Linked DNA regions of Macaca mulatta. The protein of the gene in region 3 interacts with the protein of the main gene of each other region in a pairwise test. Links are inferred from orthologs where the notes say so. Each region holds a gene or a part of one and is shown on either strand. Other genes may lie near its edges. The genes, in order: AGTPBP1, SPTBN1 and TNIK.

What was found.
Region 1: the proteins of TNIK (region 3) and AGTPBP1 interact in a two-hybrid assay, tested with the Homo sapiens proteins (2 studies listed by BioGRID and IntAct). The link is inferred for Macaca mulatta from reciprocal best matches to the Homo sapiens genes TNIK and AGTPBP1.
Region 2: the proteins of TNIK (region 3) and SPTBN1 interact in a two-hybrid assay, tested with the Homo sapiens proteins (2 studies listed by BioGRID and IntAct). The link is inferred for Macaca mulatta from reciprocal best matches to the Homo sapiens genes TNIK and SPTBN1.

Annotation. Positions count from the first base shown.
Region 1 is NC_133420.1:116,466,469-116,469,812, forward strand, and holds the end of AGTPBP1 (cytosolic carboxypeptidase 1), read right to left. Parts: intron 1,292-3,344; coding exon 1,114-1,291; 3' UTR 549-1,113; downstream 1-548. UniProt on the Homo sapiens protein: Metallocarboxypeptidase that mediates protein deglutamylation of tubulin and non-tubulin target proteins.
Region 2 is NC_133418.1:70,000,169-70,003,823, forward strand, and holds part of SPTBN1 (spectrin beta chain, non-erythrocytic 1), read right to left. Parts: intron 3,237-3,655; coding exon 2,973-3,236; intron 2,331-2,972; coding exon 2,106-2,330; intron 1,630-2,105; coding exon 1,540-1,629; intron 1,364-1,539; coding exon 1,082-1,363; intron 424-1,081; coding exon 293-423; intron 1-292. UniProt on the Homo sapiens protein: Fodrin, which seems to be involved in secretion, interacts with calmodulin in a calcium-dependent manner and is thus candidate for the calcium-dependent movement of the cytoskeleton at the membrane.
Region 3 is NC_133407.1:82,747,677-82,751,331, forward strand, and holds part of TNIK (TRAF2 and NCK-interacting protein kinase), read right to left. Parts: intron 283-3,655; coding exon 182-282; intron 1-181. UniProt on the Homo sapiens protein: Serine/threonine kinase that acts as an essential activator of the Wnt signaling pathway. Recruited to promoters of Wnt target genes and required to activate their expression. May act by phosphorylating TCF4/TCF7L2.

The DNA.
Region 1 (3,344 bases), on a different chromosome or scaffold from region 3:
CACTGCATTTTGCAAGCTTCTTAACAAACTATTCAACTGCAGTGATACACTTTAGGTATATCCATGAGGCAAAGTATTAGAGAAATGGGCTTTCAGATATATCTCTTATGATAGGTGTGGGTATACCTCTATCATAACAAAATTTAAGACTAGCATATTCAGCTTTTTTTTTTCCTTTTAATGAGACAGTCTCACTCTGTCGCCCAGGCTGGAGTGCAGTGGCGCTATCTCCTGGGTTCAAGTGATTCTCCTGCCTCAGCCTCCTGAGTAGCTGGGATTACAGGCACGTGCCACCACTCCTGGCTAATTTTTGTATTTTTAGTAGACAGGGTTTCACCATGTTGACCAGGCTCAAACTCCTGACCTCAAGTGACCCACTCACCTCAGCCTTCCAAAGTGCTGGGATTACAGGCATGAGCCACCATGCCCAGCTAACTTTCTTAAAAGCAACTTTTTATCACTGTGTCCAATTCTGGGTTTTTATCACATTCTCACAAAGTTCTATACATCAAATAATCTGAGCTGGTTAAAGAAGATGACAAAATGAATGCAACATTTAATACAGTTTTATTTGTTTAATTTGGTAAATGTAGAATGTAATGGTTTCAAGGCAAACCCTGGATTACTTCAGTCACAACCCAATAGTTAACATGATTCTGAAGAACAGTCTTATCTTCAATATCTACCCACTTCTAAACAAACACATCTATAGAAATCCATGTACATATATATTAGTTTTCAACAACTCAGGATTTTCAACAACTCTAAAATTTCAATTTTATATTCTGAACACACTTCAAAATTATCCATTTGATGCAGGATATAACCATAGGGAGATAAAAATTCATGCAATGATACTCAGGTTTTTTAAAGGTAAATCCAATATTTGATCATTCAATGCTACATAAAGTGCACTGAATATCTAAAATAAAACAAGTGCCAATTTTATCATTAATTAATAACATATTTATTGTCTTGAAACCAAACTGGCCCAAGTTACTTTTTGTCTTTTTGAGTCAGCTCTGTATAAACTCATTTCTCTCAAGTTTCCTGTGAAATAAAAACCAAGATATTCCATTTCTTCTTTGCGGTTAACAGGAGATGGTAGCGGGCTCAAGGTAGGTATGTTCTTGATAATTCAGAGTCAGAAAGCACTTCTTCTTGAGCAGAAGGTTCATAATCTCCTACATTTTCAGCCAACTCAATATCTAACTCATCATTACTTTCTGCACTGTAATCAACTTCTTCAAGGAATCGAGGTTCATCTTCATCCAAAACGTAAGTGGTAGGGCTGCAGCCAAAACACACAGACCATACAAGACTTTGTTAGGTCTTAAGGTCCTAATGTAAGATTATTTCACCATACTGGACTAACTCTTTGATTCCAACATGATATAAGCTGCATTAACTTTAAAAATCTTATCCAAATGAACAAGTTGAGATTTATAATAGGTGAAAGTTCCTTGTATTGACAATAAGCAGTGAAATGTGAATTATTAATTATATTACAAGAGTATCGACATATATCCTAACATTAGATAGCTTAAAAAAACAGTGAACTCTCTCATCAGGTTATTTCTTTGAAAGACTTCACCAATTTGCAAGCTAAGATTTATTTTTAAATTCTACTTTAGTCACTGTAAATCAGGCAAAAATAATTGCAACAGTCCTTACAAGAAACTGTGAGCATTTAATTGGCTTCTCGAGCAATGCACTAAAACCACTCACTCTAAGTCTATAAAGTGATTAGCTGCCATAAAAACAGCCCATGTACCCACCCCCCGAGTTTCTGTAGGTCAAGAATAAAAATGAAAAACAAGTGAACACTCTATACCCAGATTAATACTTTCCCTAAGGACACAGAATAAGACATTTGCTTAAAAGCACTAAGTGCTTCTAAATATTTCATGAAGTAAGTCGTTTGGGACTGAGACAACTTTTCTACTAGGTTCTGTAACGTATTCTTTCCTAGAAAATTATCACATCATTCTGATATCTCCCTATTTGTGAGATACACCCCCCCACACACAGTATCAAAGAAACACTACAGAAACATTTCAAAATCTCTAAAGTAGTGCCCAAAACTACCTTAATTTCATATAGATGTATGTTTATTTATTTCCCACCTGTTTCCAAAAAGGATTTCCTATAACTGATGCATTTAAAACCTATAAAATCAGACAATGAAAAGGGAACAATAATCTGTTAAAATAAGAGAGAAGCAGATGTCATTAGGCACCTAAAATGAGAGAATTCATGCAACTGAGTATGAAATTCAGTCCAGATATCTGGAAGTTAAGGTGGGATGGGAAAGTTAATAGATTACATGGTTCTAATTTTCGGAGAAGTTTGCAAGACTTTATCTGGCAAGAGTACCTTTTTTCCTATACTGGCTTTAATCTTGCTCATTAAAGAGAAAAATACATTGCAAAACCACCTTGATTTAATGTAGCAAACTTCCTCTTAAAAGTTCAGAGCTTGCAATATGATAGAGTAGTCCAAATAAATCAGGCTAAGTGGCTTGGAGGATTGTGTGAGACTCAACAACATACCTAACCCTCACAAGAACAATTTTAGTTTTTAATTTGCAACTAAAATATTTAGTATGAATCTGTTAGGTCTTTAGAGAAACAAGTTAGGTTAAAAGAAATGATTATTTGTGTTTTTTGTTTTTGTTTTGTTTTTTTTGAGATGGAGTCTTTCTCTGTTGCCCAGGCTGGAGTGCAGTGGTGTGATCTCGACACACTGCAACATCTGCCTCTGGGTTCAAGCAATTCTCCCGCCTCAGTCTCCTGAGTAGCTGGGACTAAAGGCTCCCGCCACCACACCTGGCTAATTTTTGTATTTTTAGTAGAGATGAGGTTTCACCATGTTGGTCAGGCTGGTCTCGAACTCCTGACCTCAAGTGATCTGCCTGCCTTGGCCTCCCAAAGTGCTGGGATTACAGGTGTGAGCCACCGCGCCTGACCTTATTTGGCCTTTTAAAATGACTTACCATGTTTCTTTTGAAATACAATAATTCATTCTTCCTCCTTGAGTTTGTATTTCAAATTCTCAGAGGAGTCCCAGGTGATTCTTAGAATAAATGGAAAACTAACTGAAGCAAAGAAGGGGAAAAGAGGGAAGGGAGAAAAGACAAACCTTCTCTTGCCACATACTTATTTTCTTCCTGGAGACAGTCATAACAAGAAGAAATGATAATGGAAATGTGAGGAAGAGACACATACTAAAAAGTTATGCACTGTGCCAGCACAGGGGCTGGGGGCACCCAGAACTACAGAGGCTGCTTCCAGATAGACAAGAGTGGCCAGCGTCTCCCCACAGGTGGGAAGAATACAAAACCC
Region 2 (3,655 bases), on a different chromosome or scaffold from region 3:
CTAGCCTAGTCAACCTGTACTTTTGACTCATGACACCAATACTCTTTCAGGAGACCCTTGGCTAGAAGGAGATATTTAACCCACAAGAGCAATTTCCTAGTGTAACAGTTCACCCATCCTAATCATGATAGGATGTTTTAAATGATGGGACTGTTTTAAAAATGCTTCTCAAAGATTTGCCTTACCAGCAATTCATGATGAATGCTGCCATTTTCTTTTGGTGGGGGTTAGCAAGAGACCCTCACTGAGAGGAATCGACAGCTGGGTCTCAACCTCATGAAGCAGCACTCACCTTTCAGGATGGCTGTCGGCCACCAGGGCCCGGCTGGTCTTGGAGAGCTGATGCACAGTCTCTGCATAGTCCTCCACAGCTTGTTCTAAGATCTGGTGCTTCTTCAACATGGAGACAGCACTCTGCTCATCCTGCAAAGACAGTAAAACGTCACAACCACAGCTGTACCCTCCGGCCCTACACCACCTTAAGGAGCGACAGACCAGCTGCTCAGCAGGGTAGGAGGAAGGATCAGTAGAAAGAGAAACTCCAGAGGTACGGTATGGACAGTGGAACACAGAAGTGTTCCAAGAGCTTTCATATGGACTGGACCACAGAAGCCTGTGCAGAAGATAAACACAAGGAGGACACAGAATGAGCAGGGCCCCTCTCAGAGAAAAGCTTGGGCAGACCAAGTGTGCCTGGTTCACTGGAATTCCTCAAGGTCCATCAGTTATGTAAATGACAGCATTCCGGGAACCTTGCAATACTTTCAAATTGTCTCCAAGCCATCCTGTATTTTGTAAAGTTTAGGGAACCTATAAATAGATAGCAGGAAGGACTCTGGCATATTTCAAAGATGAAGGGATGAACCTGGTCTTAATGGCACACTAGGGTTCAGATAAGAAAATGCTGCAGCAAAGGGAAACCAGCAGCTGGACTTCAGACACCTTCATGCACATGGTGTCCCCTTAACACTCAAAGGCTACAAGGGAAGTTTTTATGAAGACAGAGCCGCCAGCAGAAAGCAAGCTCAGGGTTTAAATCCAAGGTTCACCTGGGGCAGGGATGCTTCCCGCCTCCTCTCACCTTGGCCTTCTCCTCTGACATCATGTACAGCTCCTGCTCGCTCATCCAGGCTTCGGCCTCGGCAGCGTCAAAGTAGTACTGCTGGGCCCGGTGTGCCTCCTCCAGCCGCCTGTGGCGTTTCTCCGTCTCCTCAATGAGGAGACCCCACAGCTGCTTCAGGTCGGCAAGCCTCTGTCTGATGGCCTCAGCGTTGAGGCTGCTGCTGTCGGTGACGATGTTTTGGCTCCTCTCAAAGATGTCATCAATGCGAGGCTGGTGTCCCTGGATTTCTTTCTGGAGGGTCTGGAGGGAGTAGACAACACACACAAAGGCTTGCTAAATGGCAACCGTCTGGTGCTTATGTCAAGCTGTTAGGGCCAAAAAGAAATCGCAAGGCTTCAAAACTCTCTGCCATTCTCAGTCTCATAATTTAGAGCAATTATTTATCAGACAGAGATGGCCCGAGCAGAAAGGCTTACCTGATTTTTCTTTATTAACAGCTGCACAGTCTGGAGGTTGTGGCCATGATCCGTGGAAGTTGCCAAAGGCATCCTCTCTCCAACCCACAACTGGGAAAAATTGTAAATAAGTGGTCAGATCCACTCAGAGGAACAAATACACAACAGAAACAAGAGCGGTGAGGGGCAGTGAGGGACAGCAAGGGTGAGCTTCAGAGAGTGCTCAGCCCCCTCGGGAGGGCTGTCTGGGGAAGCATGCCGTTGTTCTCCGAGACAGGGGTAGGGAGAGTATTTCCAACTTTACCTCATCCTCAAGATCAGACTCACTGTGAGTCCTCATTACTTTTAAAAAGTCTGTTTTAGGGCCGTTAAAATCCTAGAGTATCCCTAGATAACATGAGAGGCACAATGGAGTTGCACTTAGTGTGAAAAGGGAAAGAAACTTTAGACCATCCAGAGCGTGGACTCTGACAGCTCAACTTGCCAACGTGGCCCAAGGTGAGGTTGACTGAGAAGTGAGAACATGGGCTTTAGGACAGGCAAGGGGGCTTGTGGAAAAGCCATGTGTGCAGCCGGGGTTGACTCACGATCTCGTCCTCCACATCCCTGTTGAACTGATGGATCTCTTTGGAGGCCAGCAGGTTATGCTTCCTCTCGTTCAAGGGCTCCAGCAACTCCATGAACTTGGTCTGCACGGTGAGGCGCTTGCTGTCCACCTCGTCGGTGCTCTTCCCTTCCTGACTCAGGGCCTGGGCTTGGCTTTGGAGCTCTTCGATCTCCTTCTTCCGCACTTCCATCTGATTCTCCAGCATCTGAAGGCAAAGAAGCAGCCTCAGCGCTCAGCAGAGACTACTTTTGCAGTGACTGGCTCTAAGCAGAACTGCTGGGCCAGGGACTTGGCCACACTGCAAAGCCAGCAATGGGAGCCACTGGAAGATTTTGCCACTGATTAGCTTTTTCAACATCAATGGAACTGTTTTCAAGTAAATTTGAGGTAAATTCATTTGCCCTTAAAGCCCTCTACAGTGATGTAATATAAACAGTTACTTTTATTATCTATAAAGTGCCTTGAACAACTCAGATAACTGTCACAAATCAAGATGTTAAACAACAAAGTATGTGAATATTTCTTTAATGTAAAATGCAGAATTGAGTGAGATGAGTATTTATTTAACTGTTAAATAGCGATAACACCTATTAACTAAGAAAATTATCAATCCCATACACAGACAGCCGACACCCAATACTCCTAATACTGTGTCTTTCTAGGCTGGACAGGTAGCTTTCTATTCTGGAAATGTTGTATGATGCTGTTAGAGCAAGTACTTTTCTGGGTTACAAATGCTTTCCCATGGAAGGTGGACTCCTGAGAATGCAGTGAGTGAGAAAAGACTGTAAGGACTACGGCTGTAAAACAGAAACAAACCCAAGTCCATGAAGGCTTGTCCACTTGCCTGTTGCTTTTTCAGCAGGATATTGACGCTGGTCAGGTCTTTGCCGTAGTCATCAGACTGAATCTGACTCTCCAGGCCGTGCAGCCATTTGTCTAGATCTGCGCAGCTCTGGGTGAAAAGTTCGGCCTTGTTTGCATCAAAGAGCCGCTGGGCCTTGGTCTGGGTAGTAGATTCAAGGACTTCCCACATTTCATGTAAACCAGTGAGTTTCTCCTTCACCACAGGTTCCGTCTCAGGCTTTTCTGAAATGAGCTGCATTCCTTCCTGGAAAACAAAACCAGCATGGTTGTAAATAAACAGTTTGCTACAGAAAAAATGTCACTGTGAAAAACAAACCTAGGACATTTGATCTGTGATTTACCCACTCATTCAACACACACAGTATTTCCACATGAAGTTACTGCTCAATAAAATCAACAATGGCCTAGCTTGCATACATTACATGGGTTTCATGGGAATGAAGCAATAAATGCTAAATGCTGAAACAGTTTCAACTGAGGCAATGGAAAAATGAATGCTAATAACCTGACTTCATCCCCTCTACTCCATGACCAAAGATGATATAAAACACATTATTACTATTGTTATTATTTTGAGACAGGGTCTTGTTCTGTCACCCAGGCTGAAGTACAGTGGCGTGATCTTAGCTCACTGCAACCTCTGCCTCCTGGGCTCATGCCTCA
Region 3 (3,655 bases):
GATTAAAAGATTTAGAGACTAAGTTTAACTTAGTCTTTACTTTTGAAACAATAAAACCAAGAGTACCTACACTTATTATCTATATGAAAATTGGTATTGGTCTATATGGACTATTTTATTAATGGGTAGAAACTGAAAATTTTTAAAAAGCACATTTTTAGATAATCACATGCCTGCTTACCTTAAATGCCATGAATTTATGATATGGTTTAGGAGCCCAAGCATATATTTCCACAGCATTCTTTAAGGCAATCACCAAAAATTTGATCCTTTCATATTTAACTGTAATAGAAAAATTATGAGTTAAGAAGTACATCAGGTTATTCAAGTTCTTTGTATTAATAATGAATGTATAAGCAACAATATGTAAATTTAAATATTGATGTTGGGTGTCAGCTTCATGAAGGTGATGTTCCTGGTGTGGGATTTTTTTGTCATAGATACTGATTTAGCTTCCCTTAGCGAACTTTGGTTGGCAGAACACTTATGGCCTTTGCTTTATATTGAAGACTCTCTTCATCATCCAGAGATATAACTGCTTAGGACTGTCTTTAACACTAGGTCTAGATGTTGATATTCATTGTAATAAGAATGCATAATTTCCTTCATGTTAGCTTGCCTGGCATTTACATTCACCCACACATAAGTAGCTGACAGCAGATATGGCAAGATGGTAGAAAAATCAGAAAATGGGCAGACATAAAGGCTGCCATTTGCTTATTATTTATATTTGAATTCCAGTTACTAAGTGAAATAATTGCTTGTTTATGCTTCTAATGAAAGGGGGTGTTAGGAGCCTTGGGTTCTGTTAATGACTTAAAGGGCTCCGAATACTGACAAATCCTTTTACTCTTTAGACAGATGGAATATTAAGCATTGTAAATTCTATGGACAGAAACTTAGTTCAATGATTGAGTCTCCACATGCTTTTGCCTCCACAAAGTAGTACTCAGTAAATGCTTACTGAATGGATGAATGGAAGAACGGACTGTTGTCTGGCATTCTCTTCATTACTCTTACCTGTGTGTGTGTGTCTCTGATATAATAAGCAATATTTACAGTGATGACCTTGAGAGATTGAACAATCCTTTAAGCGCCTTCTGAATCTTTGCTATTAAGTGTGGATTCTAATTCTTAGAGAATTCGTAATCCACAATTGGTACACATGGCAATCAATTTCTTTGTAAAATATCTCAACAGACAGAATATTCTGAGTCCTAAAGAAACTAGGTAGGAAAAATTTTAATATACTTAAATGACATTAAGTTTCCAGTTATTTGCTTTATAACTTTTCATGACATAAAGTGTTTATTAGACTATTTTTGCTCATCTCTTCACCTGAACCCTAGGAAAAGATCCATAGCAGTTGGCATTGAAGGAACATATTTCAAAATAATAAGAGCTATGTATGACAAACCCACAGCCAACATCATACTGAATGGGAAAAAGCTAAGAGCATTCCCCCTAAGAACTGGAACAAGACAAGAATTTCCACTCTTACCACTCCTATAGTATTGGAAGTCCCAGCCAGAACTGTCAGGCAAGAGAAAAAAACAAAAAGCATCCAAACTGGAAAAGAGGAAGTGAAATTATCTCTGCTGATGACAGGATCTTATGCCTAGAAAACCCTAAATATTCCTCCAAAAGACTCCTGGAGCCGATAAGTTCAGTAAAGTTTCAGGATACAAAATTAATGCACAAAAATCAGTTACATCAATAATGCTCAAGCCGAGAATCAAATCAAGAGTTCAATCCCATTTATAATAACACACACACACACACACACACACACACACACCTCACACACACCCCTAGGATAATACATTTAACCAAGGAGGTGAAAGACCCCTACAAGGAGAACTACAAAGCACTGATGAGGGAACCATAGATGACACAAATGAATGGAAAAACATCCCATGCTCATGGATAACAAGAATCAATACTGTTAAAGTGACTATACTGCCAAAAGCAGTCTACAAATTGCCAATGTCATTTTTTACAGAATTAGAAAAGACAATTCTAAAATTCATATGGAACCAAAAAGGAGCCCAAATTGCCAAAGCAATCCTAAGCTAAAAGAACAAAGTTGGAGGCATCACATTACCTGACATCAAACTATACTGTAAGACTGTAATAACCAAAGAAGCATGGCACTGATACAAAAATAGACATATAGATCAATGGAACAGAATAGAGAACCCAGAAATAAAGCCACATACCTACAACAAACTGATGTTCGACAAAGTCAACAAACATAAACAATGAGGAAAGGACACCCTGGGAAAGTTGGCTAGCCATATGCAGAAGAATGAAACTAGAACTTTATCCCTTACCATATACAAAAATGAATGCACAATGGATTAAAGACTTAAATGTACCCAAAACTATAATAAGAAAATCTAGGAAAAACTCTTCTGGATATTGGCCTAGGCAACATGTTTATGACTAACACCTCAAAAGCAAATGCAACAAAAACAAAAACAGACAAATGGGACTTAATTAAGCTAATGAGCTCCTGCGTGGCAAAATAAACAATCAACAGAGTAAGCAGACAGCCTACATGATGGGAGAAAATATTTGCAAACTATACATCCAACAGATTCTACAAGGAATGCAAACAATTCAACAAGAAAAAATCAATCCTATTAAAAAGGGGGCAAAGGACATGAACACACATTTCTCAAAAGAGGCAGTCAACCAACAGATGAACAAATGCTCAATATCACTAAACATCAGAGAAATGCAAATCAAAACCACAATGAGATACCAACTCACACCAGTCAGAATGGCTATTACTAAAAGGTCAGAAAAAGTAACAGATGGTGGTGAGGCTGCAGAGAGAAGGGAATGCTTATACACTGTTGGTAGGAATGTAAGTTAGTTCAATCTCTTTGGGAAACAGTATGGAAATTTCTCAAAGAACTAAAAATAGAACTACCATTCTACCTAGCAGCTCCACTTCTGGGTAAATCCTAAAGGAAAATAACTTTTTCTTTTCTTTTTTTTTTTTTAATCAAAAGGGCACCTGCATTTGTATGTTTATTGCAGCACTGTTCACAACAGCAAGGTCATGGTATCAATCTAAGTTGTCCGTTAATGTTTGATTAGATAAAGAAACTGTGTTATATATACAGCATGGAATACTACGCAGCCATAAAAAAAATGAAATTGTGCCCTTGGCAGCAACATGGATGGAGCTAGGCCAATCTCCTAGAGTAAAATAACCCAGAAACAGAAAGTCAAATAACACATGTTCTCACTTATAAGTGGGAGCTAAAAATGGGGTGCACGTGGAAACAAAGCTGGAAATAATAGACACTGAGGACTCTTAAAAGGGGAGTGGCAGGTTAAGGGCTGAAAATTTACCTGTTGGGTATAATGTTCGCAATTTGGATGATGAGTTCACTGGAAGCCTGAGCCTCACCATTATGCAAACTACCCATGAAACAAACCTGCATATGTACCCCCTGGACCTAAAATACATTTTAAAAAGAAAAGAAAAAAAATCCCTTCAGATTTTGCTTATTTTCAGGGTGAAAGAAGAAATAAATAGGTTCATATTTTTAAAGAAATTTAAAATCATCTTGAAAATAAAAACTTATCTAAGCACATATAGGCTCAGATAAATCAAGAAATATTTTAAATGGCTCTTGGA